2 linked regions of the Stegostoma tigrinum genome follow. The protein of the gene in region 1 purifies or fractionates together with the protein of each later gene. This does not show direct contact. Links are inferred from orthologs where the notes say so. Each region holds a gene or a part of one and is shown on either strand. Other genes may lie near its edges. The genes, in order: hdac5 and prkd1.

The links.
Region 2: the proteins of hdac5 (region 1) and prkd1 purify together in Homo sapiens (affinity purification with western blotting; 4 studies listed by BioGRID, with this or other methods). This does not show direct contact. The link is inferred for Stegostoma tigrinum from reciprocal best matches to the Homo sapiens genes HDAC5 and PRKD1.

The regions. Positions count from the first base shown.
Region 1 is NC_081384.1:20,059,029-20,073,969, reverse strand, and holds the start of hdac5 (histone deacetylase 5), read left to right. Parts: upstream 1-7,307; 5' UTR 7,308-7,322; coding exon 7,323-7,473; intron 7,474-14,941. UniProt on the Homo sapiens protein: Responsible for the deacetylation of lysine residues on the N-terminal part of the core histones (H2A, H2B, H3 and H4).
Region 2 is NC_081363.1:61,991,747-62,007,672, forward strand, and holds the start of prkd1 (serine/threonine-protein kinase D1), read left to right. Parts: upstream 1-8,424; 5' UTR 8,425-8,713; intron 8,714-9,060; 5' UTR 9,061-9,195; coding exon 9,196-9,387; intron 9,388-15,926.

The sequences.
Region 1 (14,941 bases):
ATGCTGTTTGAGGAAGTCTTGGTGAATTTCTGCAGTCATTCCTGCCACCTTAGACTGATGGTGATACGAGCATGAATGAGCTGTTCAGTCCTTTGAGCCTGTTCCACCATTAAATAAGACCATAGCTGATCTGTGACCTATCTCCAAATACTTGCCTTTGATCCATACCCTTAATTCCTTTCACTAACAAACATTTATCTATTTCAGAAAGAAAATGAGCAACTGTTGTAGCACCAACTGCTGTTTCATAGTATCATAGAGTCCCTACAGTTTTGAAGCAGTGCATCTCTCGCTCTATCTCGTTCTCTCCTCTCTCTTCTTTCTTCCTCTTTGCTCCTTCCACCACCACCACCAACCCAGGCTAAGTCTACATCATTCCAGTAAACCCATGTTGTGCCCTCTCCAAGGCCAATATTTATGAGCTGCAGTGTCCATATCTGCTCATAATTGTCCAAGTGGGGCTAACCATGATTTTGTATGGCTGCAGCATATCTTCTACATCTTTATACTCCAATTGTCTCAACATTAAGGCCACAATTTCATTAGTCACCTCGATTATTTTCTGTATCTCTTTGTGGAATTTTAGAGATCTGTGCATGTGAATATCTTGGGACAATCTTTGTACAGCCACTATATTTGCAAATGCAAGGTTTTGAGTCACTCCCCACAGAATTTCTAGCCCCTGACCTGCTCCTGTGGCTATAGTGTTGATTGTGTCCAGCTATGTTTCTGGTCAGTGGTAAACCCCAGTAGATTGTTAGTGAAGAGTTTGGTGATAGGGATGTCATTAAATGTCATGGGTAGTTGGTTGCCTCCTTTTGTTGGAGATTTTTGTTGTACAGATATTGCTGAGTTTGGGCAGGGACTGCTTCAGTATCAGAAGAGCCCCAAATCGTCTTCAGTATTGTTCGGTCGTCAATAACCATCTTCATTTCTGACCTTGTGATTGGAGGAAGGTTATTGATGTAGCTGAAAATGATAAGGCCTAAAGTTAGACCATAAGCCATAAGAGTGGAGGCAAGGCCATTCGGCCCATCGAGCCCATTCTGCCATTTAATCGTGGCTGATGGGCATTTCAACTCCACTACTCTGCACTCTCCCCTTAGCCCTTAATTCCTTGTGAGATCAAGAATTTAACAATATCCGCCTTGAAGGCATTAAACATCCCGGCCTCCTCTGCGCTGCGTGGCAGTGAATTCCACAGGCCCACTACTCCCTGGCTGAAGAAATGTCTCCTCATTTCTGTTCTAAATTTACCCCCTCTAATTCTAAGGCTATGCCCACAGGTCCGAGCCTCCCCGCCTAACGGAAACAACTTCCCAGTGTTCACCCTTTCTAGGCCATATATTATCTTGTAAGTTTCTATTAAATCTCTCCCCTCAACCTTCTAAACTCTAATGAATATAATCCCAGGATCCTTAACCATTCATCGTATGTTAAACCTAGCATTCCAGGGATCATCCGCGTGAATCTCCGCTGGACACGCTCCAGTGCCAGTATGCCCTTCCTGAGGTATGGGGCCCAAAATCTAAATGGGGCCTAACTAGAGATTTATAAAGTCTCAGAAGCACATTACTGCTTTTATATTCCAACCCTCTTGAGATAAACAACAACATTACATTCGTCTTCTTAATCACAGACGCTACCTGCAAGTTAACCGTTAGAGAATCCTGGACCAACACTGCGAGATCCCTTTGTACTTCTGCTTTATGAATTTTCTCACTGTTTAGAAATAGCCCATGCCCGTATTTGTTTTCCTCAAAGTGCAAAACCTTGCATTTGCTCTCGTTGAATTTCATCAGCCATTTCCTGGACCCCACTCCTAAACTGTCTAAATCTTTCTGCAGCCTCCCCACCACCTCAGTACTACCTGCCTGTCCACCTATCTTCGTGTCATTGGCAAACTTCGCCAGAATGCCCCCACTCCCTTCATCCAGATCATAAAGTTACTGCAAAAAAATTCATGCAATACCTTTGCTTCAGGGTGATAGGCTTCCAAATAATGTAGCCATTTTGTGCTGTGCTAACTGTCACTCTGTGCAGTGAAGAGTACCAACCCTTGCCACCACTGCCACAGTTACCACCACCACCACCATCCTCCTGATCCTCCAGCGATGTCAGTTTGTGCAGGGACTCCTTGATATCACATTAGGGCAGATGCTGCCATGCTGATGAAGACAATGACTGTCACCTAACTTCACATTTTCAACGAGATCTTCTGTTTAATCTTTGGATCAAAACTCTTGTGAGGTGAGGCATAAGGTGGTGCAGGAGGAGCTCATACTGAGGTCAGAGAACAAATTATTGCTGAGCAAGTGCCACTTGATAACACTGTTTGCTTGGGTCATCACTTTTTTGATGATCAAAACTAGACTGATGGGACAGTATTTGGCCAGGTTGAATTTTTTGTCTTTGTTTTGTATGCAGGTTGTAATTGTACAATTCTTCACTTTCAGTTTTGGTGCTAGCATTATAGTTGCACTGGAACATTTGGCTAGCTCTGCATCTAGAGGTGCAGTGCAAGTCTTTGTTGTTATAGTAAACATGTTATTAGCCAGCACTTATTGCACCTGGAGTGTGCCAGTTGATCAAATATGCTGGATAATCAAGAGGTCTGCATCACTGCAAGGCTTCAAGACATCAACATCCCTCAAAAAAAATTCATGTTAAAAACATCAACACACTTCCTAAAATCACTGTCAAAATACACAGCAAGTAATAGAAACATAATGCGGTGAGTATATGCATCACTGTTCTACTTTGTTCACACCATCAATACTTGGATGTTGCATTGGATCGCAGTTTTTGATATATATAATTTTATCCGGTTTATCAAGACTGCTGGTTGATAAGGTGCCAGTTAAGCAAAGCTTGCTGTACAACATAAATATTTTCAGAACCTGTTGCTTTTGTAATATCCAGTGCCTTTGATATTTTTTGATGTGTGGAGTGAATTGGTTTGGCTGAGGATTGGCATATGTAATGCTGGGGACATGAGGATGCTGAGATCAGTTATCCCCTCAGCAGATCTGGCCCAAGATGATGGCAAACACTTCAACTTTTCTTTTACACTGATATCCTGGGCTCTCTGTCGTGGAGTTGCTTAGCAGGGCCAAATTTGACCAATTGTTTCACTTTTTTTTAATCAATTCCAGAGAGTGGAAAATTCCACCCTACAAGGGACCTAACCAGAAGCCTTCTGAAAATCCAAATATGCGCATTGACTGGTTTTTCCCTTATCTGTTTTAATAATTACATCCTCAAAAACTCCAGAAGACTAGTTCAGCATGATTTTCTTTATATAAACCAAGGCTGACGTTGTCCAATCCTGTTAAATGTTATTGCATCTTTTATAACAGACTGGAGCATTTTCCCCACTACTTCTGTCGGCTAAGCTGGTCTGTTTTTCTTTCCTTTCCCTTCTTTTTAAATAATGGAGTTACTTTGTCACCTTCCAAGGTGCATGAAATGTCAAAGTCTGTGGAATTTTGAAAGATGACCATCGGTGAATCTAATATTTCCAGTGCCACTTCCTTTAGTCCTCTGAGATGCAGATTATCAGGCCCTGGGTACTTTTCAGTCTTTAACCCCATTAATTTCTCTAGCACCTTTCTTTTTACTAATACTGATTTTCTTCAATTGATCCTTGTTGCTATACCCTTGGCTCCTTAATATTACTGGAAAATTATTTATGACCTTGTCTCTGAAGACAGAACAAAATGTGTTCAGTTTTCTCTATTTCCTTGTTATGCAATTGCATTTCCACATTTTCTGACTGTGAGGGACCTACATTTGACTTTACTAATCTTATTCTCTTGGCATATTTATAGATGCTTTTATTGCCTGTTTTATGTTCCTGTTTGTGCTGTTATCTTGAATGATGCTTGGTACAACATTGTATTTTTACTGGGATGGGATGGTGGAGGTGGGGCCAGGTTTGTAAGAAGAACATGGGGTGCATAGCAAACAATGTAAAACGATGTGGCTAATAAATATTGTGGCAAGAGAAGCAAAATTCATAAAGTTCTTAAAAAGAAGTACAAGGCTGATGAACACCTAATGCTTTCGGGGAGATTGGATAAAGAGGCTCTTGAAGGTTTACAAAGAGTTTCCGCAGAGATTGCTGGCTAGGTTAGCACTTTTGATCTATCCCAATTGCCACTGAAGGTGAAAGAGAGCCACCTTCACCAACATTGCAGTAATATTTGCAGGGAAATCCACAATGCTGTTTGGAAAGGAGTTTCTTCTGTGATCTTGACCAAGCAGTAGTGAAGGAACTGTGATATCATTCCAAACCAATTGGGAAGGAACTTACAGTTGGTGGCATTCCCAACATCATCTGCCCTTGACTTTCTAGGCACTGCAACCTATGGGTTGAATAGGTCCTTTCTGAAGAGCTGTGGTAAATTACTGGAGTGCTTCTTGTTGTTGGTACAGTGTTGCTGCTCTGTGTTGGTGGGAGAAGGATCACACACTGAACATAATGGGTGAGGTGCGAGTGAATGAACTGCTTTGACCTGGGGTGGAGTCAAGCTTTTTGATTTTGTTGGAGGCCGCACATATCTTTTCAATGGATTACTCCTGAGCAGCGCATTAAAAGGCTATTTTCTTTATATTATTAAATATGTTAAATGAGCGGCAAGTACTCTTAAAAATTAATTAATTTTGCCATTGGAAGATTATTTTGTAATAATAGGATTGATTAAACAAATTGTATTGCCATTGTATGGTGATCAACATTTTCAATCTGAAGCAGGTGTGAAACAGTCCCATAGTTAATCTTAGGTACAGCAATGTTTGATTTAACTTGTGGCTATGTCAGACGTTGATTTAGTGACTCTCAAGCAGTTAAATAGAAGCTCCAACAATTCTTGGAATCTTTTTCAATTTTTAAACAACAGGGGACTTCAAACATCACAGCAGTAATGCTTTAGTGCTCACGAAGAGCTTTTTAGTAAACATCACAGGGCATTGTAAAAAGGTGCTAATAACAAGGAGTAAAACTATGTAATTTTCCCTGCAAAATAGGCATTTACTGTAATAATTTGTAGTCCAATGTGGATGTTACACTGACAAAAATGATTGGATCCATGTTATCCACGTGCTGCAAGAAGAACCTTATTACAGTGTTTGTAAAATTCTTCAACAGTACTTTTATGGCATTTTTCTACTTTGGCAATATTCTTGTGCTTTTTTTTATGTTCATCCCAATGCCACCCACTCTAATTAGTAGAATCACTGTAATGTAAGAGAGGTATGAGTGGAGGAGGTGCTCTATAATTTTATGTTGTGCATAGTCTCAGGTGCAATTTAACGGCATTGTACTGAGGAGCTGTAGCTATGTTGTCTGTTATCACTGAGGTTGGGGAATACGCAGATCCGTATCAGCATCCTTGAATGCAGCAACTAGTGCTGTTCTTCACTGTCAACTTCATGTGCTTTTAAAATGGAAAGTAGTTAACTGAAAAGGAGGATCCTTTTAATATATGAAACTTTTATATGATTATAATGGGCTTCTAGGTGATCTCATAACCATTGTGTCATTATACATCCCTGTGTATCTGTTTCCAGAACATGCTGCATACTCTAAAACTGACCAATCCACCAACTGGTCTTTCAATAAGTAGACAGAGAATCAAACTGATGGACACGTTGCTGCATTTGTCGAATTATATTTGGCACTAGTGTCTGTGCAAGCTTTCCTTTTTTATTCCTTTTGGATTTGTACACTTTGCTAATTGTTCACTTCAACTTGCTTACAGAGCTTTAAATGGTCAGAGCTGAACTAGTTGTCATTCCGCTTCACCCTACCTCACTGCACCCCGCCTCCAATTATTGCACATAGTGCATGGTTATTGTTAGAAAAAGAGCAAAAACTTTAATGGCGATATTGTTTATTTTCTTAATTTGTCGTCTTTCTCGGACAAATTAAAATGGGTAAATGCAAGCTGTAGTCACTTTTTTTGAGATGAGCTCGAAAGCAGAACAAAAATAATAATTAAGTTAATATTGGTAAAGTCAAACATTGATATTATTGAAATGAAGTTTTGGAAGGATGACTAATTCACCATAGCTGAATGGTTAACCAAATTGAACATAAGTCAGGAATTTTAAAAGTTGCTCTCATTGAATTAGAAGTATTACTTTTACTTGACTTTTCCTCTTCAGTCACTAAGAGAAAATGTCCACTGCTTTGTGATCAATGCTACACATCAGATTTTTAATTTGTGTTTTCTAATAAAGGTTCTGGCCCAGTAGGGTTGATATAGACTTTAGTTGTCCCCCCAAGAATGTTTGCCTTAGTAAATGTAAATGAGCTAAGCAGGTTATTTACCCTCAGTCCTCTTTCTGAATTTATCCGTCATTACTTTCATGAAAACGATCAAAGAAGTCTACAATCTCTCATCCAGTTTAAACTGTCATGAATGCTTAAAGTTTAAATTTTTAGGAGTGATTTTTATTCTACCCTGTTCAATGTGCAATATGACATTGTTACAAAACCTCTTCACAAATTGAGAGAGTTAAAATAAGGATTATTTCAAAATTGCTGTTTCGATCTGATTATCAATTACTCGTGAACCAACTTTTTAAAAATGTATGACTGAAGGAACTTTTTGAAAGCCTTGAGGTTGCAGTTGGTGTGATTTTTTTTGCTCTCTGTTTCCATACCATCTTTGTTATCTCATTGCACTTATGCTGAATATACAGTAGCATTTAACTACTCTTGGCAGTAACATTCATGGAGTTAAAATGTGCACGAGCTAGGAAATCATATTTTAAAGCAGCTGATTGGTTGCCTATGTTTGTGTGAATGTTCCTTATTCCCAGAGCGTGCATGACCTATTTATAGCCGGCTCCTCCTGTTATTCTATTTTGGTGCACTTCAGGCTGTATTATTGTTGACTTTTATGTAAATGTGTTTGCCTTTAATGCAGTAGGCAGATTGTAGGGTTCCTTACTTTCATTGCGAGTGAGAGGATTAATTTTTTTATTGAACTGTGTCTGTCTGTGTATTAAGGTTGTTTTTTGGTAAAGGACTTTCCCTATCTAACTACAATGTTGCATGTTGTCTCATTAATGCCTTGCTAAAAGGAAGATGACTGAGTATTTGTTGTTGGATTGAAAATCACAACGCTAATTCAGGATGTTTGTTCCACTGCATTTCACCAGGCTTGACTGTGTTAAAAGGAGCTGGAGATTTTTCTACACAGCCTTCAGCAACAGGATTTAAAGGATAAAACAACACTCAACAGCTTAAAAGTTTGTAAAAAGTTGTCTGTAAAAGAAGATTTGAAAACTATTCTGTATTTGATGACTTTGTCATGTTACTGAAGCCCAAAGTGCCTGGACTTAAAAAGATGTTGCAGACTATTTATGAAACTGAATCATGTTTTTCCTCAGATGGTGTATCTGGACAAGAGCAGCCCCTAGAATTGTTGCCACAAAGTCGGATGCACACTATGCCAACATCAGGTAAGCGAAGTAATTCAATTGCTGTTAGTATCCCAGCATCTGCAAATTACTTCAAAGGAACTTAGGTACAGAAGCCTTTTCTATCTCATTGAATTCTTGCGTTATTAAATATGTAACATTTAAAAATATTTAGATGAACAATTTCTTATACTGTTTATGAACGACAGTATTTGAAATAAGGTTGGGTAAGTTAGAATCACAATAATGAATTCATTACTTCATTGCATGCAAATGTGTTTTAGTTTCTTCTTAAAAGATGGATTGTGAAAGATTCATGGATTTTGTCTGTTTTCAGCATTTCAATATTGGTGTGAATTTTAAATAGTTCTAAATATGTGTTTTTGAGCGTGGTTATTTTCAGAATCTGTTTATTCAGCACGTGGTAGTTATCTGTCAGCACTAGATAGCTATGTGATACCATACTTCTTTTTGAGGTATGCCAAAGCTAAGAATATTTAGATATTTTTAGCTGTGGAAACTTAAGCTTCTTAACGTTGCCAACACAGCTTTTAAAACAAACAGTTAATCCAGCTTCCATTATTTTAATTCACTGTAGTCTTGTTTAGCATGTTAAATGGGATGAATTATGTTTTTCAGAGTTAAAATGTGGTGTCAAGGCCCAAGACCAATAAATCTAAACACGATGCAATTTAAAGGCAGGGCTATAATATTCTGTTACTATGTTGATACCTTGCAGTTTGTGCAGCAGCAACACTTATGTCGGTTTACTGATAATGTGTAGTGTCCTCCCATCCCCCATTTTCAGGTAAGGTTGAAAATATCTCATGGAAAAGCTTTACTCTGACTAAATTTGTACATGACAAAGTTCAGAGTGCAGCGTTACCCAGTTTTAGAGAGGAGCAGTGTTTCCAGTTAACACTGTTATTGCTGAAGTCAATTTATTTTTCATTAAAACAAGATCATGAGGGCAATATGAACTAAATCACTTGTGACTTATCTGTACTTCAGTAAACAGGTGGTTAGGTTGGTTTTTAACTGTATGTTGACTGGTTTTCGTTTCATTAGTTTAAAGTGGTGCTTTTGTTACTACTCATTTGGTAATAATAGGCACAGTTTAAAACTGTTGAATGAACAAATAGCATTCTGTTGAAAATTTAAATCAGGAATTTAACTTTTTTTTCAATTGCTAAAACTGAGGGAAATATTAGAGCGACAAACATGAATAAAGCAAGTTAACCATTGCTTTAATTAAGCATGGTCAAAATAGAAATTTTGATTTTATATTAAACAATAGAATATAAACTTTCAAAATATTTTAAATAAAATATCAGTAAAAGAAGTATGTTTCCTAAATATATTTTAAATATTTTTAAATACTTTTTAAATTCAACTGAATATATATGGGAAGTTTCAGTGCAATCCATTTACGTTTCTCAACATGGCAATCGTAGCAATTAACCGAACATTACTGGGGGCATTGCGGCGTGAGTCATCTTTTGTCTTTGTTCATTAACTGTACTAGACGTTCATGTAAACTTCTGCCACTGTCAAGTCTCTTGTATGTTTCATGGAGGCGCAACTTCCTCTTCATCACTAAATCAGATGGCTTTCTTTTCATTGGAAGATAACTAGGAAACTTGAGATAGTCAGTAATTTGGCTGTTTTCTGCACAGCATATTTATTTATTATCATTGTAACTGCAGTTCTTGCCAAGACAGCCTGTACTTATGGTAAAATGTTTGACTTTGAGCAGAATTGTTTCGGAAAAACACAGGTTTTTATAAACTCTTTACCTAGTTTGTAGAAGGTGTGCGTAGTAAATTCTCACACCCTCCAATTCTTCACTTTTTATAATTTAATTTACAGACTGCACTGTTCCTGGTAGATTTTTGCCCTTTAGATCGGTAGAGTATTTGCCATAACTTTACTTGATAATTCTTGCACATGTAAAATCTAATAACATAGTGGCACAATTTTGTAGAAGAAGAAAAAGATTTGAAGTTATAGCTCAAGTTTTTTGCATCATGTCTAAATTCAAAACTCAAGAATATTTAAAAAAAAACGATAGATAAATTCCTTATATCTTGTATGAATGACGTTGCATACCTGTAATAGTTTTAGCCTTTTGTTTACTTATGCTTACATGGGATGTGAGTGTTGTTGACAAGGTCAGCATTTAATGCCTGTCCCTAATTGCTCTTGAACTGATGGGCTTGCTGGACTAATTTCAAAGGATAGTTAACAGTTGACCACATTGCTGTTGTTTTATAGTTCACTTTCTGTTAACATCTATTTGCTGCCATGCCTACGCAATGTAGAGGCTTCCCATGCAATTTTGAGGAGATGACACATAGTGCCAATGTATGGAGATAATAAATGTGTGCAGAAATGTTGTTCAGCAATAACTTGTTCACTAATGCGAGTTTGGGTTCCATAGGAGCCATTCAGCTCCTGTTTTCATTAGTCTAGTTACAACTGTGGACAAATAACCTGAGCTCCAGTGGTGAGATCCTTACTTCAAGCAGGTTGAAGTATAAAAGTAGGAAGTTTTGCTGCAACTGTACAAGGTTCTGGTGAGATCATATCTGGAATACTTTAAGCAGTTTCAGCCCCCCTCATTTAATGAAATATTACTTCATTATAGGCAGTTCAGAGAATGCTCACTAAGATGATCCATGCTGTGCAAGAATTGTCTTACAAGCAAAGATTAAACAGGTTGGGATTCAACTCATTGGATTTTAGAAGAATGAAAGGTGATCTCATTGATACATACAGGATTTTTAAGGGACAAAAACAGAAGTTGCTGGAAAAGCTCAGCAGGTCTGACAGCATCTTTAAAAAGAAATCAGATTTAGTGTTTCGGTTCTGATGACTCTTCCTTAAAACTGATCACCAAACTTGACATGTTAACTTTGATTTCTCTTCATAGGTGTTGTCTGATCTGCTGAGATTTTCCAGCATTTTCTGTATTTCTTCCTGGCTTGCAGTATCTGCAGTTCTTTTGTTTTTTATTTAGGATTCTAAAGTTTGACAACGTAAATGCTGAGAAGATTTTTCCCACAAGGGAGAGAATAGGAGCAGAGAACATTGTCTCGGTATAAAAGGTCACCAATTTAAGACTCTGATGAGGATAACTTTCTTTGAGTGTGTGTCTTTGGCTCTTGTTGACACAGTGACTTGTGGGAACAGAGTGCTTGTGTATATTCAAGGCAGGGTAAGGACAGGAAAGTGGGCATGAGGAGTAGTGGATTTGATTGACCCAATTGCATGACAGAGCAGGCTTGAGGGGCCAGTGGCCCACTCCTGTTCTTCTTTCTTATGATATTATTTGCCTTAGGCGAAATTGACTATATTTGACAGCAAGACAGCATTTGACATATATAGCATTAAGGAACCGCAATAAGATTGCAATCCAGGGAAAATTCTATGCTGCTTGGAGTCGTATCTAGCACAAAGGATGTTGAAATAAAATGAAAGAGAAACAGAGTTAACTTTTTGAATCCACATAACACTTTTACAGAATTGAAGGAGTCTGTGAACTTTATGGGTTAAGTTGCAGGGAGAGCAAGTGGGCTAGATGATAACGGTACCCGATTGCAAAAAAAAATGTTCGTGATAGTTGAGGAAAGCTATGGATGAAGGTTATCTAACAGTGGTATGTGTTAATAGCAGACAATAAGTCAGCTTGATTGAAGCCAACACATTTCAGTAAGACACTCATGGAAGGAGAATCAAAATAAACAACAAAATGTTCATAGCCTGTGGTTGTTGAATTCACCGTTGAGTCCTGAAGGGTTTATGTGCCTAAGTGGAAAATGAAGTGGTGTTCCTCCAACTTTGCTGGAACATTTTAACAGGCTTAGATCAGAAATGTTAACCTGAGAACAAGATGGTATATTGAAATGGTAAGCAACTGGTAGGTCAGGATCATTATTTTAAATAGAATGGAGATGTTTTGCAAACTGGGCTGAATTTGTGCTTGCCAATCTGGAAAGGAATGTGTTGTCAGTAGTGAATATAGTAGAACATATTGGAAAAAGTGAAAATAACTCACTGCTTCATACAGAAGGTGTGTTTGAACTTTGGACAGTGAAAATGGATGAGATTAAAGGGCAAGTGAGGCACTTTCTGCACAGGAATGTGCCATTGACAGATGCATGAAGAGATGTTGATAGTGACAGGAAGCGTATCAAGTTGTCATTGGAGGGAATAATTTCTGTGGAGGACTGACAGGGTTTGGAGTGATGATGTGTTTGGTGACATCCTGCTGGAGGTGACAAAAATGGCAAAGTGTGTTTCTTTTGAATGAGGAAGCTTTTGGGGTGAAAATGAGAGCCCTGTAGCTTTTCAGGAAGACACCAGAAGAAGTAGGTACAGAAGTACAGGATCTAGGTCAGCCATGAATGAGGGCTCCATCAGCCATTGTAGAAAGGAATACACAATTGAGGGAAAAGGAAGACATGACAGTAGCACTCCTGTTGAAGGTGTCATCATAATGGATGTGACCGAAATGGAGAAACTAAGAGAATAGAATGGAATCTTTAAGGGAAGCAAGGTAAGGAAATGTGGTCAGGTAATTGTAGGAGTTGGTGAGTTTCTGTTGTACATTAATGGCCAGCCTATCTCTTGAAATGGGGTCTGAAAAGTCAAGGAAAGTAAGGAAGAATCAAAAATGGGCAAAGTGAAAGTAAGAAAAGGATGGAAATTAGAAGAATGTTTCCAATTCCATACAATGCAGGAAACAAATGCAATTATTGATGTATGGGCAAAAGAGTTGCGGGAGGGGCCTCTAAGTAGGACTGAATGAAGTAATGTTTCACATGCCCTTCTGAGAGTCTGACTTAACAGACAGTTGCAGGTACCCATAGCCATATCTATTATTTAAAGAAAGAGATGAGATAACGGAGAAATGGTTTAAAGTGAGAACACACTCAACCGAGTGGAGGACAGTATTGATGGAGTCTTCTTAGGAAGAAGTGGAGAGCCATCAGACCATCCTCTTAGAGGATCAAGATGTAGAGGGATTATAATATAAATGTTTTATCTAGGAGAGCATGTCAAAAGCTAGAAATTCATCAGTACGTAACTCATCTCCTGATTTCCCAGCACTGGCTCAGTAGTTAGCACTGCTGCCTCATAGGACCAGGAACTCTGGTTCGATTCTGCCCTTGGGTGACCATCAGAGTGGAGTTTGTACATTCTCCATGTGTCTGTGTGGGTTTCCACCAGGTGCTCCGGTTTCCTCCCACAGTCCAAAGATGTGCAGGTTAGGTGGATTGGCCATACTGAATTGCCCACATTATTCAGGGGTGTGTGGATTGGGTGGGTTATGGGGGATGGGTCTGGGTGGGCTGCTGTAATGGTTGGTGTGGAGGCGGTAGGTTGAAGGGCCTGTTTCCACACTGTAGGGATTCAATGATTTTCTATGATCTGTGATTTTGCAAGGCACTGGTGAGGAGTACTATGGAACATCCTTCACTTGCAAAGAGGGGTGCAACTCTGACAGTACTAAAGAGGTTTCTCACCGTCCAGGACAAAGCAGTAGGCTGGGTTTACAATCCGCCCACGTCCTTCCTCCTTCATTGATGCAGGCAGCAGTGTGCCAACTGCAGTAACTTACCAGGTACCTCTGAGAGCACCTTGCAAGCATGCAAGCACCATGCAGATGCATGGGAACATCGCCACCAACAAATTCCCATCTGAGTGTCGCCATCCTGATTTGGAATTGTATTCCTATTTCTCAACTGTTGCTAGATGAAGTCTTGGAGCTACTTCCCTAACAATATTTGTGGATGCACCTGCACCCAAAGATGTCCAGTAGTTGAAAAATGCAACTCAGCACCACCCCCTCAAGGGCCATTAAGGATGATCAATAAATGCTGGCTTATCCCATCAATGATTTTTTGAAAAAAATCATTTTGTTATCAGTAAATTTGCTGATGTAATGTTTACATGAAATTGCAGCAAACAGATTTTAAAATGAGCTGACCAGTTTCACCTCTGATGAAGGGTCTAGGCCCGAAACGTCAGCTTTTGTGCCCCTGAGATGCTTGGCCTGCTGTGTTCATCCAGCTCCACACTTTGTTATCTTGGATTCTCCAGCATCTACAGTTCCCATTATCACTGACCAGTTTCATTCGTAGTTTTAAAAACCCATGATTTAAACCATTTTTCAGAAATCAGCTTGCATGTTCAACGTGTTTGTTTTTAAATTTTGCTTCTCACCTTCAGGTTGTTTTCTACATTATCTTCCCTGTTAATTTGATGCTGCGTTCCTTGCTGTGCTCATTTATTTACTCTTATGCCTTCCCTGCTTTCCTTTCACTACCTTTTTTTAAACACTGACTCGCAACTAGTTCTGTTCACAATAAGAACAGGGTAAATCTCTCTGCCAAGAATGTAGGGCAAGCATCTTTACTTTTTATGTAGATCAAATTGTTCCATTTGAAGTATTTCTGCCATGACTAATGACTGTGGTAAAATTCACCACCACTTTGACAAGTATGTACACTGAAGGCATAATACTTTTAAAAGAAGAAATCTCTGTTTCATTGCCTCCTCTAGAGAAATGTAATCTGAGTTTGCAATGAGTTAGTTGCATTCTGTCAATCACTAAGTCACAAACATAGATTTCATTGATATTATGCAGATAATGAAATGCAGGATTTCATTTTCAGTTGGAGCCTTTGTCTATGAGAAGATATTAACCTGATTCATTCCTTTTAAATTACAAGAAATATTTTTAAATTGACAGCTGACAAGTCAGAAAAGAGCTTGTCACTGTTACAGATGTATTTGTAAAAATCATTTTATTTTATTGTTTTATTTTGAATAAACTTCTATGTTCTATTGCAAAAAATGACTGGGTTCTCCAGAAATCCACAGCAATCTGATTTCTGCAATGTATCGTATAAACTGATATGCAAATTTCATTACATACAGAGTTGATATTTCATTCATTCGAAAACAGTTAACATAAGAACTTTTTAAACTTGTAATGGGCAGTGACAATTTTTTGTTTTTCGTTAGAGCAACTCAGCCAGTTAAGATCTATTCCAGACATTCAGCCATCTGCAGACGTGGCCATTATAACTTGTTTCTATTGTAGTCGTAACTCAAGTCAGAAAAAGTAAGCAGAATCATGAATGTAGTGGAATTGGGGTTCAGTAGCAGAGTTGCAAAGTATAGAGGGGGAGCAATATTGACTAGAATTTAGAATTTGCCACATCTAACTTGGAAAAATGCCATGAGCTAAGATATGCAACTAGAGAAGATGGGATTTGAAGCATACTGTTAGGAAAGTGTGTATAAAGTAAAAATTAAATTTGAAATGATTTGACACAAAATCAGATGTACTTCTGTTTTCTGGAGGTGTGTAAGCGTGAGAAAGTACTGGTTTCAAATGCAGGAATAAAGATGTATTACTCCAGTTACACAGTGCTTTGAGGCCTTACATGTAACATTGTGTGTGCAGTTTTATTCTCCTTAGCTGAGGAGGATTTTCTTT
Region 2 (15,926 bases), on another chromosome or scaffold:
CAGGGAAAAGGCCTTGTCGATTTACTCTGTCGATGCCTCTCATGATTTTATAAACTTCTAGGGGTCATCCCTCAGCTTTCGACGCTCCAGGGAAAATAGCCCAGCCTATTCAGTTTCGCCCTATAGCTCAAACTCTTCGGCCCTGGAAACATCCTTGTAAATCTTTTCTGAACCCTTTCAAGTCTCACAACATCTATCCTACAGCAGGGAGATCAAAATTGCACACAGTATTCCAAAAGCGACTTAACCAATATTCTGTACAGCTGCAACCTGACCTCCCAGCTCCTACACTCAATGCACTGACCAATAAAGACAAGCATACCAAACACTTTCTTCTCTATCCTGTCTAACTGTGACTCCATTTCAGGAAACTATGAACATACACTTTTTTTAACAAAACTTTTTAGGCCCTTGCCAATAAGTGTATAAGTCCTGTTCTGATTTGCCTTTTCAAAATGCAGCACGTCACATTTATCTAAATTAAACTCCAACTGTCAATCCTTGGCTCATTGGCCTGTCTGATCAAAATCCCACTGTCGTCTCGGATAACTTTATTTGCTATCCACTACACCACCAATTTTGGTGTCATCTGCAAACTTACTCACCATACTTCTTATGTTCACATCCAAATCGTTTGTATAAATGATGAAAAGCAGTGGATTCAACACTAATCTTTGTAGCACACCACTGGTAATAGGTCTCCAGTTAGAAAAGCAACCCTCCACCACCACCCTCAGTCTTCTACCTTTGAGCCAGTTCTGTATCTATATGGCTACTTGTCCCTGTATTCCATGTGATCTAATCTTGCTAACTAGTCTACCATGAGGCACCTTGTTGAATGCCTTACTAAGACCGTAGAGATCACGTCCACTGCTCTGTCCTCATCAAATCTCTTCATTACTTCTTCAAAAAACTCAATCAAGTTAGTGAGATGCGATTACCCATGCACAAAGCCATGTTGCCTATCCCTAATCAGTCCTTACCTTTCCAAATGCATGTAAATCCTGTCCCTCAGGATTCCCTTCAACAACTTGCCCACCACCAATGTCATACTCACCCCTTTATAATTCCCTAACTTTTCTTTACCACCTTTCTTAAATAGTGGTACCACATTAGCCAGCCCCCAGTCTTCTGGCACCTCACCTATGGCCATCAATGATACAAGTACGTCCGCAAGGGGCCCAGCAATCACTTCCCTAGCTTCCTACAGAATTCGAGGGTACACCTGATCAGGTCCCAGGGATTTATTCACCTTTGTGTTTTAAGCTGTCTAGCACCTCCTCCTCTGTAATATAGATGTTTTTCAATATGTCGCTATCTATTTCCCCACATTCTATATCTTCTATATACTTCTCCACAGTAAACACTGATGCAAAATATTCATTTAATATCTCCACCCACTCCTGCGCTTCCATACACGGGTGGTTTTTAAGGACCTTATTCTCTCCCTAGTTACCCATTTTCCTTAATTTGTTTATTAAATCCTTTTTAAATTCCTGCCTAGCTTCCTACATTCTGTCCTCAGAATCTCATCCTTTTCACTTCCAATATCATTAGTTTCAAAGTGTACAACAACCTCCTGCTGGCCCCTCTCCCCTTTAAGAATTTTCTGAACCTCCTCAGAGATATCCTTCATCCTGGCACCGGGAAGGCAATACATCATTCTGATGTCGCAAAGTCAGCCGCAGAAATGTATGTCTGTGTCTCTGCCTCGAGAGACCTGAAGCACAATAAAAACCAAAGGAAATGCAGATGCTGTCAATCAGGAACAAAAACAGAAGTTGCTGGAAATGTTCACCAGGTCTGGCAGCATCTGTGGAGAGAAATCAGAGTTAGCATTTCGGGTCTGATGAACCTTCCTCAGTTGTGCTCCAATACGTTAACTCTGATTTTTTTCTTCACTGATGCTGTCAGACCTGCTGAGCTTTTCCTGAAACACAATCGATTGCTTGGTACCTGGCATGCCCCTTGTTACATTAGAGCCAGTCTCAGTATTAGAAACTTGGCTGTCAGTGCTACATTCCCCTGAGAGTCCATCTCCCACTACATTTTCTAAAACAGCATACATGTTTGATATGGGGATAGCCCATCTCCTGGAGACTTCTGCACTACCTGCCTCCCTCTCCTACCTTTCCCGGAGGTAACCCATCTATCTGACTGTATCTGTGGTTTTTCTCCCTTCCTGCAACTACCATCCATCACACCCCCTAGCTTTAGTAAATTCCTCAATGCCTCTAACTGCTGCTCCAACTGATCTATGTCAGCGGATCAGATTCGCAATCAAACATACTTCCTGCTGACATAATCATCAGTAACATGGAAATTCCCCCTGATCTATGTTCAACTCTGTGAGCTTTAGGACAGGGCATTAACTGAAGAGTTGAAATTGAAAATGACATTGCACAGTCAAATCAATGCCACACACAGACTCACACCACATTCTCGATGCTTACAGCTCACAAGGCGGGACGCTGCCTACCCGTAGTGGTAAAACAGGAAGTTGTCAGTCAGTTGGCAGAATGGCATCAGGAAAAGTGCTCTCCTTTCACTGACCAGTAGTTAGCCCACAATTGGGCTTCACATTCAGCACAGTAGTGGTGGGTTGATGCCCTTCACTCGGCATTAATTTTCACTATTGGCCTCAATTAGGCCATGAGCAGACGGCCTGACCAACGTTTCCCGTATTTACATATAAAATCGTGTCAGCAGACAGTCTGCCAGTGGCATTGTGCCCTGATTTACACATCTATCCACCTGCTTTAGCACCTGGGGGAGGCACATACAATTCAGTCTTAGGAATCATTAAAGGCCAACATTGCATTCACTTTTAAGCTATTTTCTTTATTTAACTTCCAGTGATTTGTACACCTGTGCAGTTCCAAGTCTTTCACCATGCAGAAGATACTTTTGATTTATCCATTTTAGATTCACAGTTAATGACCTTGCACTCCTCTTTTTGAATTAATTATTTGCAACATGTGCATTAGTTGCCCTTTCCTAACTAAAGGCTGAGTCTTAACTTTTTTTTGCTAAGTGTAAATTGTTTCGTATCCAGCATTTTGGAGAGTTTTATGCCATAAGGCCTAGCAAGTTTTCTTGTAGCATCTTACCAGATTTACCCCATTAGCTATGTAGAACAAACAGAGAATGCTGGGGAAACTCAGCAAGTTTGGAAGTGTCTATGGAAAGAGAAACAGAGTTAATGTTTCGAGTCTGTTATGACTCTTCTTCAGAGCTTCAGACCTCCTATGTTGGGCATTGAGCAGCAACAGTTTTGCATATGGTCCATAGGCACCAGCCACACACAACCCGCATCTACAGATGTTGGCATTCATGGCAAATCATCAATCCAATTATATCTGTAGACGTGGGTTGCGTGTGGCTGTTGCCCATGGATCATACCCAAAAATGTTGGTGCTCAGTGCCCGACATGGGAGATCTGAAGTCCTGAAGAAGGGTACACCTTTGCATTTCAATGCTGTACCTCAATCTGCATTGATAACCATCATTGATTGTAATGAAGCAGCAAAGACATTACACACTTAGAGACATGCCCTAAGCTCATGGGCTGACCAGGCTGGGCTCTTTGCTTCCTGTCACAATGTTCACTTAATCAGCCCACCTGCATGTTTTGCCTTTGCCCTTTTAGCCACAGACACCAGGCTCAAAGTAAAGCTGTAATGCCATGCTGATTAATACAAAGCTTGTCATGTTTGTCAATAGGCCTCAGTCAAGTCAAGAAAAATAGGTTTTGATCAGGGGTTTATGGCACAGGAAGTCAAGGGCAGCCTCCAAAAGCAGTGCTGCTAGCAAATGGTGAAATAACCAACGCCAGCGACAGACCTACTTAAATAGGATTACATAGAATACGTGGCACAGATTAGTCCTTTGGCTCAACCAATCCATGTCAGTATTAATGTTCCAGTCAAGCTTCCTCCAATCTTTCTTCATCCAGATCGATCTTTGCAAACCTTATTCTCTTCTTGCATATGTTTTCTGAATTAATCTATGCTATGTGCTTCAACCATTCCCTGTAGAAGAGATGTCCACGTTCTAATCATGCATTGGATTAACAAGTCGCTTTGCTTTCTAGCTGGCTATATTTTATTGATGGTCACTAATTATGCTCTTCCCTACAAGAGAAAACATTCTCTCTTCTTCCACTGAATCAAAACTTTTCAAAATCTCATTAAGGTCATCCCTCAGGCTTCATTTTTCAAAAGAAATACAGTCTGAACATCCATTCCACAGTTGTGCGTTCATACATTTCTGCCACCGTTCTTAAAAATCTTCTCAGTACCCACTTCAGTGCCTCTACATCATTTTTATAACAGTGATCAGCACTGCATTCAGTGTTCTAAGTATGATCTAACCTAGCTTTGATATATACGACAATTTCCTTACTTTCGTGTTCTGTTCCTGTTGAAATAAAGCCTGGTGTGTGGTTTGCTGTTTCATTACTTCCCTACTTTCTTGACTTTTGAGTTCTGTTCTTGTTGAAATAAAGCCTAGGGTGTGGTTTGTTGTTTCATTACTTTCCTAACCTGTGGCCCATTAGCAATTTGGTATATTATATTCTGAGATCCCTTTTATTTCCTTTACCCCAGCTACACTCACACCTTCCAAATAAAAAGAGTCCTTCCCTATTCCACCTACAAAAATGTTTAGTTCACATTTATTTGTGTTGAAGAGAATTTATCATTCATTATTGACCATTTTGTTTGTTTATAAATTTCTTTTTGCATTTTGCTGTATTCCTCCTCAGTGCTAACAGTACTGACACCCACCAACACCCTCACCACCACCAATTTGGTGTCACCTGTGAATTTAGAATTTGAGTTTTGTTTCAAATTCTAATTATTCAATTCAAATCATAAAGAGTATCGATCCCACCACTGGTCATTGTGGAACACTATTCCTATCATGGGCCATTCTTATCAACTACTGTTACAACCAAATCTCGAATGAGCTTCCCCAGTTATTTTAGTTACAGATGGGATGCTGAACTTGTTGAGCTCTCGGTTGAGACACAATGAGTTGATTCCACTTCCTTATTCACCTGACCCCTCACAACAAGATTAATTTACAAAGGATTCCCTCCCTGTGGGTATTTTCCTCCCAGGTCAAATGAATTTCTGTTTTAAAAGGAGTCAATTAGACCAGGCTTCCTGAGTCAGCAATAAGGAGAGCTGATTACTTAGGAACACAAGAAGAATTAACAACACAACACACATACACAAAGGTTCGAAAGGAGAAATGAATCCAAAAATTTAAAGTATATACAGATCAGAATCTGTGTTATTTGTGAAATGTAAATAGTGGAATGTTATTGTTGATTTTGAGATTCATTGAGATCCATTTGCCCTGTTTCCTTTTGACTCTGGTTGGCTATCAATACTTGAAACACAAGAATCATCTCTTTGTACCAGAGATAATAGGAACTTCAGATGCTGGAGAATCCGAGACAACAAGTTGTGGAGCTGGATGAAAACAGTAGGCCAAGCAGCATCTTAGGAGCAGGAAAGCTGATGTTTTGGGATCAAGGGTCTAGGCCCGAAATGTCAGCTTTTCTGCTCCTAAGATGCTGCTTGGCCTTCTGTGTTCATCCAGCTCTACACTTTGTTAATCGTCTCTTTGTATTGTTTCCTTTCAGCTGGATAGCTGGATTCCATCACTCAGTCTGAGAAAAAACTTTACCCGAAAGAGCACTGGTATACTAGTCTACTCGTGGCTTCTATCATCAGGGCCAATATGCACTGGTCAAAAAGGAACTGCTTAAGCATTTTAAATTCTGGTTTCATCTGGTCAGGTCATTTCCCAAGGGTACGGAAATTTGAAGGTACACCTCTGGCCCTAACTGGTACATTTGTAAGAGAGCCTTTTATTAAAAACTCCGTGGCAATGAATAATCAGTGGCACTTACCCCAGGCAAGAGGGAGCAAACCTTTATGATCAGTGAACTATGATGCAGGTTTCGATAGTCAAGGTATTCAAGTCTTAATGGTGCCACATTGTCAGAGTCAACTGGAGACTGAAGTTCCGAAAAAAGGTTTTAACTGAATGCTCTCTGCTTTTCTGAAAGCACACACCCTGTTTGGGGTTTAATTCCATGAACAAAGCAGCTCTCTGGTATCTTTCCAAATCTCAATTCTTTTCAGATGTAAGTTGAGACAAAAAGTTCAGAAGTTTGTTCTGCTGCACAAGCTGTCACACTGAATCTGTCCTCATCTTAACATCTAGAGATGCACTGTCTAGATTCAGGTGACTATCAGGTCCAAAGAGTCTGATTACCTTCTGAGCAGGCTCAGTGCTGAGGCCAATATCAGCACTCCAACTGAAATCCGGGTTAATATTAGTAAATTTCACACAGATGGAGAACGGAGGTTTCTTCTAAAGAAATGCAGAGGATGCTGGAAATCTGACATAAAAGCAGAAAGTCATGGAGAAACTCAACATGTCTTTCAGGAGTATGAAGAGGTCAAACCAGACTCAAAACTTGGTTTCTCTCTCCACAGATGCTAACAGACCTGTTGAATTTCTCCAGCAATTTCTGTGTTTTTTCAAACCGGATTTGTTTTGTTTTGGTTAGAACACAAAGCAGCCCTGACTAATGGGATCTGAACCAGAGGTCAGAAAACATCTATGTAATGTGAAAAATGTTTTCAGTCTAGATAGTGACACATTGCAGAGCAGGAGTGTAATTGATAGACTACTTTTCTATCTATCTCAAACCATTTTAAATGAAAAAGATTTAGAACACACTCATGTCAGATTTAGAAAATAACCCACAATTTAAGGTTAGGAGTAGAAACTATAGAGGAGATGTGAGGACAAACTTTTTCACCTGGAGGGTGGTGGCAATTTGAAACTCTCTGCCGGTAAGAATGGCAGAGGTCGGAACCCTCATAACAGTTAAGTATTTAGTCGCACACTTGTGATGCCAAAGTATATAAGGCTATGGTCCAAGTGCTGGAAAACAGGATTAAAAGAGTTTGGTAGTTGTTGTTTGACTGTTGCAGACTGGGGCAGAAGGGCTTTTTTTTGGTGTCGTCGATCTCGCTGACACCATCTGTAATGTTGAGTATCTTACTGCACGACTGTGGTCCCTTGCGCTCGGAATTCATAAAGGTGATATGTTGGGGTCCTCAGCACAAGACCCATTAAAAGAACGGAATAAAGTGGGGAAGCTGCTGACACCAGATGTGTTTTCTGTATAATACAGGATCACTGCTGTCAGTCAAACATACAATGAAATAACATTAATATTCCTGTATGGCAACCTCTCAGCATTTTGGTAATACATAGAGATTTCTCTCAACTGAATATTTAGGAAGTTTTAAACATCAAACATCCCGCCGCGAGGTGACTAATTGTTATTTTCAGTCTGGTATAAAGGGCAGTCTATATTTTGTTGGCTTTATTTTAAATCATTTGAACATTAAGGTAAGGACATTTATTTCAATGCTTTTGTTTAAATTGAGAATAGCAAACTCCAAACTCCTGCACGTTTAAAAAAAATAACGTTGTTGAAAGTTTCTTTTGGCAATATCGGGGGATCAACTCCTGAACCAACCGCAAACCGGGAATACGAGTTCCTTCAGAAATTTTCTTCAGATACTGGAGTGAAGTGGGAGTCATTCGGATGCAGGTGATGGGAGTCTTTCTGTTGGGCTACAGAAGACAGGGCAACGGGACACGGGTCCCTAATCCTAAAGGAAAAATTCAGTGCGTGGGTCACCCCTAGTCACAGACACTCGGCCACAGGAACACAGACGCCAACATCCGACGCAGACACGCACAGATAGGCTCCCCTACTCCAATTCACCCTCACACAAGCAGACACCAAATACACAGAAATGCACACAGTCTCACTGACACACACATATAGGCAGGCACACACCGACAGACACATCGATTCAAATACACGTTCACACCCCTTTCCAATCCCACAGACTGCTCTGACAAAAATATAAACTTGTTTTTGCAATTACACACCGCAATCTGAAAATATCTTTTCTTTAAAAAATTCAACTATACCTTATTAATAAAATAGTATATTTATGTACATAGTCACTAAAGCAGTTCGGCTCTGTACAGTAGCATATGAAGAAACAAACAAACATCGGAGTTTGACTCTATCCAGCAAACAAATCCAGGCATCTGTTACTCGTAAATAGTTATTGCAGGAAAGTGGACTGCTCAGTTTCCAGACCATAGCTGAAACTTAGTTTGCAAAGCTCTGCTGTGTGCAGTTACTGCTCCAGTATGGGGACTGTCTTGTGTCTTAAAACAATCTTTTCGAAGTATTTCTAAGAACAGTAATTAAGATAACATTTGTTCTAAGTGAAAGTGGAAGGGGTGGAACTGCGTTTGACATTCGCTTCAGAGTGACAGCTTGACGGAAAACGTTATAGAAATGTTGATTATAGCCTCACACTACCCGCAGCCCCCACTGCCAGCCCTGCCCCCTGAATTTGCAATGCTAATATCGGCAAACTGGAAAGGCCATCATTAAGAGGGGGAGCGCCTGCTGTTACCCAGTGTCGTCCTTGGCCAGGGCAGGCTTCTGACACGGGTCTTCCAGGTGGCAGGGTCTCCCAGAGGAGAGAAGTGCACTGCTCTGGTGCCGGTGAGGGGAGGGAAGGAGGTTGAAGAATCGGAGATACGGAGCAGAGCACAGCGGACCGAGTTCGTGTGACAAGAGTGAAACCAGGTACGGGGGACATAGAGACACAGTTCAAGAGGGAGAGATAGTGGTGCGGACACGCCGGCTGCGATAGAGACAAACACACACAACAAACGAACAGAAAGTGAGGCAGAGATGGACAGAGGGAACAGATGTACAGAGTTCAGTGGAGAGAGAGAAAGTAAATAAGGGGACAGGGTCCAAATCCGTCCTACTGGCAGTGCCTGGAGGAGGGCAGGGGGTAGCAGCACGGCTCTAGGGACCGGGTCTGGGGGCAGCAGCGGGGGTTGGGGGGGTAATCGGGGGTGTGGGGAGATTTGTCCAGCTTTGGACTCAGCTGCTTTCTTACAGCCGCTTCCTGTTTGCTTCTTTAGCCAAAGCAGCAACAACCCTTCTCCCCCCCTCCCACCTCTGTCGCCATCTTCCGCCTTGCTGACTGTAGCCAGGAGAGTGTGGGACGTGAAGTTCCGAGAGAGAGAGGGAGGGAGTGGAGCTCCGTGCTGCTGCTGATGAATCCGGTCCCGGTGATCCGCTCGGGTAGCCCCTGCTCCCCTTCATCCCCGGGAGCAGAGCGGCTCAGCCCCCACGGTATCCCGTTCCACATCCAGATCGGCCTGAGCAGGGAGCCCGTCATCCTGGACTGCAGTCACTTCTCCCTCGCACATGTCCGCGAAATGGCCTGCTCCATCGTGGACCAGAAGGTAACCCGAGTGTAAAGTTGGCGCGGTCAGCGGGGACACAGGGGCAGGGGGCGAGACACAACGAGAGAGGTCTAAAGATAGACCAGGTGGGGGCAGAGGGGGGTGAGGGAGAGGTGGTGGTCAGACAGAGAGGGAGAGGGGGTTCAGTGAGCGGGGGAAGGTGTTCAGGGGGGTCAGAGAGAGGGGGAGGGGGGTCAGAGAGATTGGTGTTAAAAAGCGCGGAGTTCAGAGAGGAAGGTCAGAGAGAGGGGAAGGAGGGTCAGAGAGAGGGGAAGGAGGGTCAGAGAGAGGGGGAGGAGCATCAGAGAGAGGTAGGGGTGTTAGAGAGAGGAGCTCAGAGAGAGGGGTCAGGAGCCAGACGGGGATGGGGTCAGACAGGGAATGAGGGGGTTTTCGAGAGAGAGGATCAGAAAGAGGGACAGAGTAGGTCAGAGAGGGAGAGAGAACGGGGCGAGAGAAGGGGGTCAGAGAGGGAGCAGAGAGTTGGTGAGGCTGGTAGGGAGGTCTGGAAGAGTGGCAGGAAGAGATAAAAGGGGTGGGGGGGGGGAGATATGCAGAAAGGTAGAGATGGGATGGGGGAGCTGCTGGAGAGGGAGAGAGAGTTGAGGGAGAGCCAGAGAGAGGGGCTGAGGAGAGGGACAGAGTCAAGGGGTTGGGAGAGATGGAAACAGTCATTCAGAGAGAGAAAAAAAACAAGACAGACAGAGTGACGGAACGAGACAGAAACAAAGAAAAATAAGGATAGTGAGAGCGAAAAAGACTTGAACTTTTAAGAAATCGAAAGGAAACATTGTTATGTCAGCGGTCGCGATGTGCAGCGATGTGCAATGGGGTTTTCTGGTGTTGGAGGTTTGGAAATACCACTCTGTCCTGACTTGAGAGATGGAGGCCCCCAGCCCAGGTTGTTTCCATGATGAACCCCTTCCCCCAGCCTTCCCACTCTGAATCTCAACCTTGTCTGCATTCTGACCTCCCCTTCCCCCGCTTCCAAACTAATGCCCCCTTCCCTCTCCGGTATACTCCTTCTCTGGCAGCAGAAAATAGTTTTATCATTCAGAATGAACTGTGCAGGCGGCACAGCTCGTGGTAACTTAAGAGACTTGAACCTCTCGATTCTAGTTTATTTTGGCCGGGCGGTTGGCTGAGTTTTGACAATTGTTTTGGGCTTCCAAAGTGAAGCCGAATAAGACCACTGGGAAAATCTGGATAATGTACCAGGTTTTAGCAAATTGCTGTCTGTGAAACTGTTCTTTGTCATTGTGAGACTGTGATAAACGACATCCACAAATATTGTTACTCCCGTCTGTTAGGGTAGACACTAAGGAGACTGATTTCTGACTACTGTAAATTGATGGATAACCTGCTTTCATGTCAACAAAGTTTAATTTTTAAATAAATATATATTTTAAAACTTGGATTTCCCACAAGAACTGTTTTTGTTTCCACGTTTTGGCAGTTTGATTTCTTATCCAAAACAAACACAAACGAAGTTGGTGCATAAAATTTTGTTTCAATGGTCGAGTATGTTGCCTGGCAACAATCAAATTGTCAGAAATTTTGACTTAAAACAATTGGGAGGTGTTTTGCTTGTCAGAGTGCAAGTGAACAGATGGCCGTGGTCTGCGGTCTGTAGATTTGGATTTAAAACGTTTACAAGGTGGAAAGGCATGTTGTGCCGATAACCGTGGAAGTTACATCCTGGGAATAAAAACAAAACAAACTGTTGCTTTCAGTTATATTTTACAAGCAACACCGACAAGAAAATTGCGGCTAAAATTAATTCTGAGAATTAAAAAAAAGAAATAGCCATAGAGTTATACAACACAGAAACGACAGACCAGTTACGTCCAACTCGTCTGGTCCCATTTGCTACCATTTGGCCCATATTCCTCCAAACGTCTTCTATTCAGGTATCCATCCAGATGCTTTTTAAATCTTGTAATTTTACCCACCTCTACCAGCTCCTTTGTCAGCTCCTTCCATACAGGCATCGGTCTCTGCATGAAAATGTTGCCCCTCAATGTCCTTTTTTTTATCATTCCGCTGTCACTTTAAACCTATGCCCTCTACTTCTGAACTCCCGTACGCTGGGAAAAGACCCAATTCACCCTATCCATGCCCTCATGGTCTTATAAACCTCTATGAGGTCACCCCTCAGCCTCTGACGGTCCAGGGAATATAGCCCCAGCCGGCTTCAGCTTCTTCCTATAGCTAAAAGCCTTCAATCCCGGCATAATCTTGTAAATTTTTTCAGAACACTTTCAGGTTTAACAACATCTTTCCAATAACAAGGAGACCAGAACTGAATGCAGTGTTCTGAAAGTGACCTAATCAATGTCTCGTACAGCCACAACATGAGATCCTAACTGCTATACTCAGTGCACTGATAAACAAAGGCAAGCACGCCAAATGCCATCTTCACAATCCTGACTACCTGCAACTCCACTTTCAATGAACTATATACCTGCACCCCTAGGTCCCTTCATTTGACAACACTCCGCAGGACCCTGCCATTAAGGGTATATGTCCTGCCCTGATTTGCCTTACCAAAATGCAACACCTCACATTTATCTAAATTAAACCCCATGTGCCATTCCTTGGGCCATTGGACCATCACGGTTCCCGTTTACTCTGAGATAACCTTTTTCATTGTCCAATATACCACCTATTTTGGTGTCATCTGCAAACTTACCAATCATTCCTCCTATACTCACGTCCAAGTCATTAATATAAATGTTGGAAAGCAGTGGACCCAGTACCATCCTTACGGCACACCACTGGTCATAGGCCTCCAGTCCAAAAAATGACCCACCACCGCCATTCTCCGTTTCCTACCTTTAATCCAATTTTGCATCTAAATGGCTAGCTTTCCCAGATTCCATGTGATCTAACTTTGCTAACCAGCCGACCATGCAGAATCTTGTCAAACACCGTGCTGAAGTCCATATAAACAATGCTTACGGCTGTGCCTAGATCATTCTGTGTCACATCTTCAAGAGACTAAATCAAGTTAGTGAGACACAATTTCCCACACTCAAAGCCATGTTGCCTCTACCTAATCAGCCCCTTCCTTTCCAAATGCATGTGAGTCCTGTCCATCCAAATCCCTGTGACAGCTTGCCCAACACAGACGTCAGGCTCACTGGTTTGTTGTCCCCTGGCTTTTCCTTGCCACCTTTCTTAAATAATCATACTATATTAGCCAACCTCCAATCTTCTGGCGCCTTGCCTGTGTGGCTATTGATGATACAAATATCTCAGCAAGGGGCCCAGCAATCTTTTCCCTAGCTTCGGACAAAGTTCTGGGATACACCTGATTAGGTCCTGAGGATTTAACCACCTATATAGATTTTAAGATGTCCAGCACTTCCTCTCTGTCATAGGGGCATTTTTCAAGATACTGCTAGTTATTTCCCAAGTTCTCTCGCTTCCATATCCTTTTCCACAGTAAATATTGACTTGAAACACTCATTTAGCATTTGACCCATCTCCTGTGGTTCCGCATATAGACGTCCTTATTCATCTTTAAGGGGCCTTATTCGCTTCCCAGTAACTCTTTTTCTCTTCATGTATTTGTGGAATCTTGTTGAATTCTCCTTAACCGAAGCTATATTATGTCCCCTTTTTGCCCTCCTGATTTCCCTCTTAAGTACATTCCTGCTGCCCTTATACTTCACTAGGGATTCACTCGATCCCAGCTATCCAGGCCTGACATATGCCTCCTTTTTCTTGATCAGAGTCTCAATTTCTCTAGTCATCAGCATTCCCCCCACCTAGCAGCTTTGCCCTTCACATTAACAGGGACATACTGTCCCTGAACTCTTGTTATGAGCAAAACTTAAAATCTAGTGATGTGGGAGGGAAACAGTGAGGCACACACTACCAATGAACGTCATATACTGTCCTTCTCATGTATGCTTCATATACATGTTCAAATGGATACCATATACAATAGTGCATGTGTAAATATACGTATATACTGTCTGTGTTAGCGTTTGGGTCACCGGACCCAAAACGTTAACTTTGATTTTTTTCTTCACAGATGCTGCCAAACCTGCTGAGCTTCCAGCAACTTCTGTTTTTGTTCCTAATTTACAGCATTCACAGTTCGTTCAGATTTTACAAATTGTCTGTCATTGGCTATGTTGAAATTGGAAAGAATTTTCACCCAAAACTTTATTTATTATTAAAACACCAGATGGATTAAGAGTGCCAAGTATCTGATTTTTTTCTATTATTACTGGACCCTGAATGATTAGAAATGTGAAGTAACTTACCCATTGTTGATATAATAAGGTGTTTATTTATTAGCGATCATATTGATAAATGATTGAAATAATAATGAACTTCCATCAGCCTTTTGTTATATTATTGCATGTTTCTAATCAAGTCACCAGATAATTGTCAATTTTAAAAATAAGATACTTATCATTTGGGATAACCAGGTGTACAGCTGGATGAACACAGCAGGCCCAGCAGCATCATAGGAGCAGGAAGTGCTGCTTGGCCTGCTGTGTTCACCCATCTCTACACCTTGTTATTTTGGATTCTCCAGGATCTGCAGTTCCTGTTATCTTTGATACTTATCATTTGGTTAGGTTAGTATTTATGATTTGTTTAATGAACAACAAAACAGGTCAAGGAAGATATTAGTAGTAGGCACTACATAGAAATTACTCTTGTGCTGAGCTCATGACAAATGTACCATGTTAACACAGAGAAATCTCTAAACTGAGATGATGTGGCAATACAGTCACTTTATTGCTTTTATTTCCACTTTATTAACTGATGAATGTTATAAGAATATTTTTAAAGCCTTTGTGAAGATTTTTTTGAGAAGTTTGTAGCTCGGATTGTGGTTGAGCTTGTAGACATGCTCGCCGAGCCGGTGGGTTTGGTTGCAAACATTTCGCCATCCTGCTAGGCAACCTCATCAGACCGCCTCCTGTGAAGCGTTGGTGTTCTGTCCCGCTCGTTAGTTATATTCCTCGGTTTTCTGGGGTGATTGGTACAATTACTGATTTTGTTTCTCGGTGTTTTGTGCACAGTGTCTAATTCAATGTGTTTATTGATGGAGTTCCGGTTGGAATACCAGGCTTCCAGGAATTTCTTGGCGTATCTCTGTGTGGCTTGTGCGATTATCGATGTGTTATCCCAATCGAAATCATGTCCCTCGTTGTCAGTATGTAGTGAGACAAGTGAGATTTAGTCATATCTCTTAGTGACTAGTTGGTGTTCATGTGTCCATATTGTCAATTTTCTTTCGATTTGACCTATGTAGTTTTTCTCAGTTCTTGCATGGTATTTTGTATATTACCCCAGTTTTGCTGGTTTTGGGTATTGTATCCTTTATGTTCATCAGTAGCTGTTGTAGTGTGGTTGTCGATTTGTGGACTACTTTAAAATCTAGGAGTCTGAGTAGTCCTATGGTCATCTCTGAAATGTCTTTGATGAACGATAAGGTGATTAGTGAGTCTAGTCATGTTGTGTCTTCCTGTTGTAATATATCTCTCTTAGGTAACAGTGGATTGTGCTTTGCGGGTATCCATTTCTTTTGAAGACTCTGTATAAGTGTTCCTGTTCTGCTTTGTGTAGTTCCAGGTTGCTGCAATGTGTTGCGACTCATTTAAATAGTGTCTTAATGCAGCTCAGTTTGTGGGTGTTGGAGTGGTTGCTAGTGTAATTTAGTATTTGGTCCGTATGTGTCGTCTCTCTATTTACGCTAATCTGGAGTTCCCCGCAGTTTTGTGTTCCACTATTTAGGCCAGGAAGCGTGTCGGTTGTTTTTCTCATTGCCTTTTCTGAATTTTATCCCAGTAAGGATGTTGTTTATGTGTCGGTGGGTTCCTTCCAGTTTCGTACGTTTAATAATCACAAAGGTGTCATCTACATATCAGACCCAAAGTTTGTGTTTTATAGTGAAAAGTGCTGTCTGTTCAAACCTTTGCATTACTGCTTACAGTCCTGATACTGAGGATCCCATTGGTGTGCCATTGATTTGTTTGTATACGCTGACGTTGAAGGTAAAAGTGGGTTGTGAAGCATAAATTATAAACATCGACTCAGCCAAAGTAACAATTGTCATAATGTTCGACGAATCAAGTAACAGGCAACCCATGACACCAACAACATCAGGAAGGATGCCACCATGAAATGTACTAAACTGGAAGGAATCCACTGACACATGAACAACATCCTTACTAGGATAAAATCCACGAAAGAGTATGAGAAAAGCTACTGACTACCTGCCTTGGACATAATGGCAGAACGTAAAAACGACGGGGAACTCCAGACTATTGTATAAAGAAAGACCACACATATGGACCAGATACTTGATTACACTAGCAAACCACTCCAACACCCACAAACTGAGCTGCATCAGGACACTATCTGAATGAGCCACAACACATTGCAGCAACCCAGAACTACTCAAAGCAGAACAGGAACATTTATATGGAGTCTTCAAAAGAAACGGATACCTGAAAAGCACAATCCACTGTTACCTCCGAGACAGACCACAACAGGAAGACATAACACGA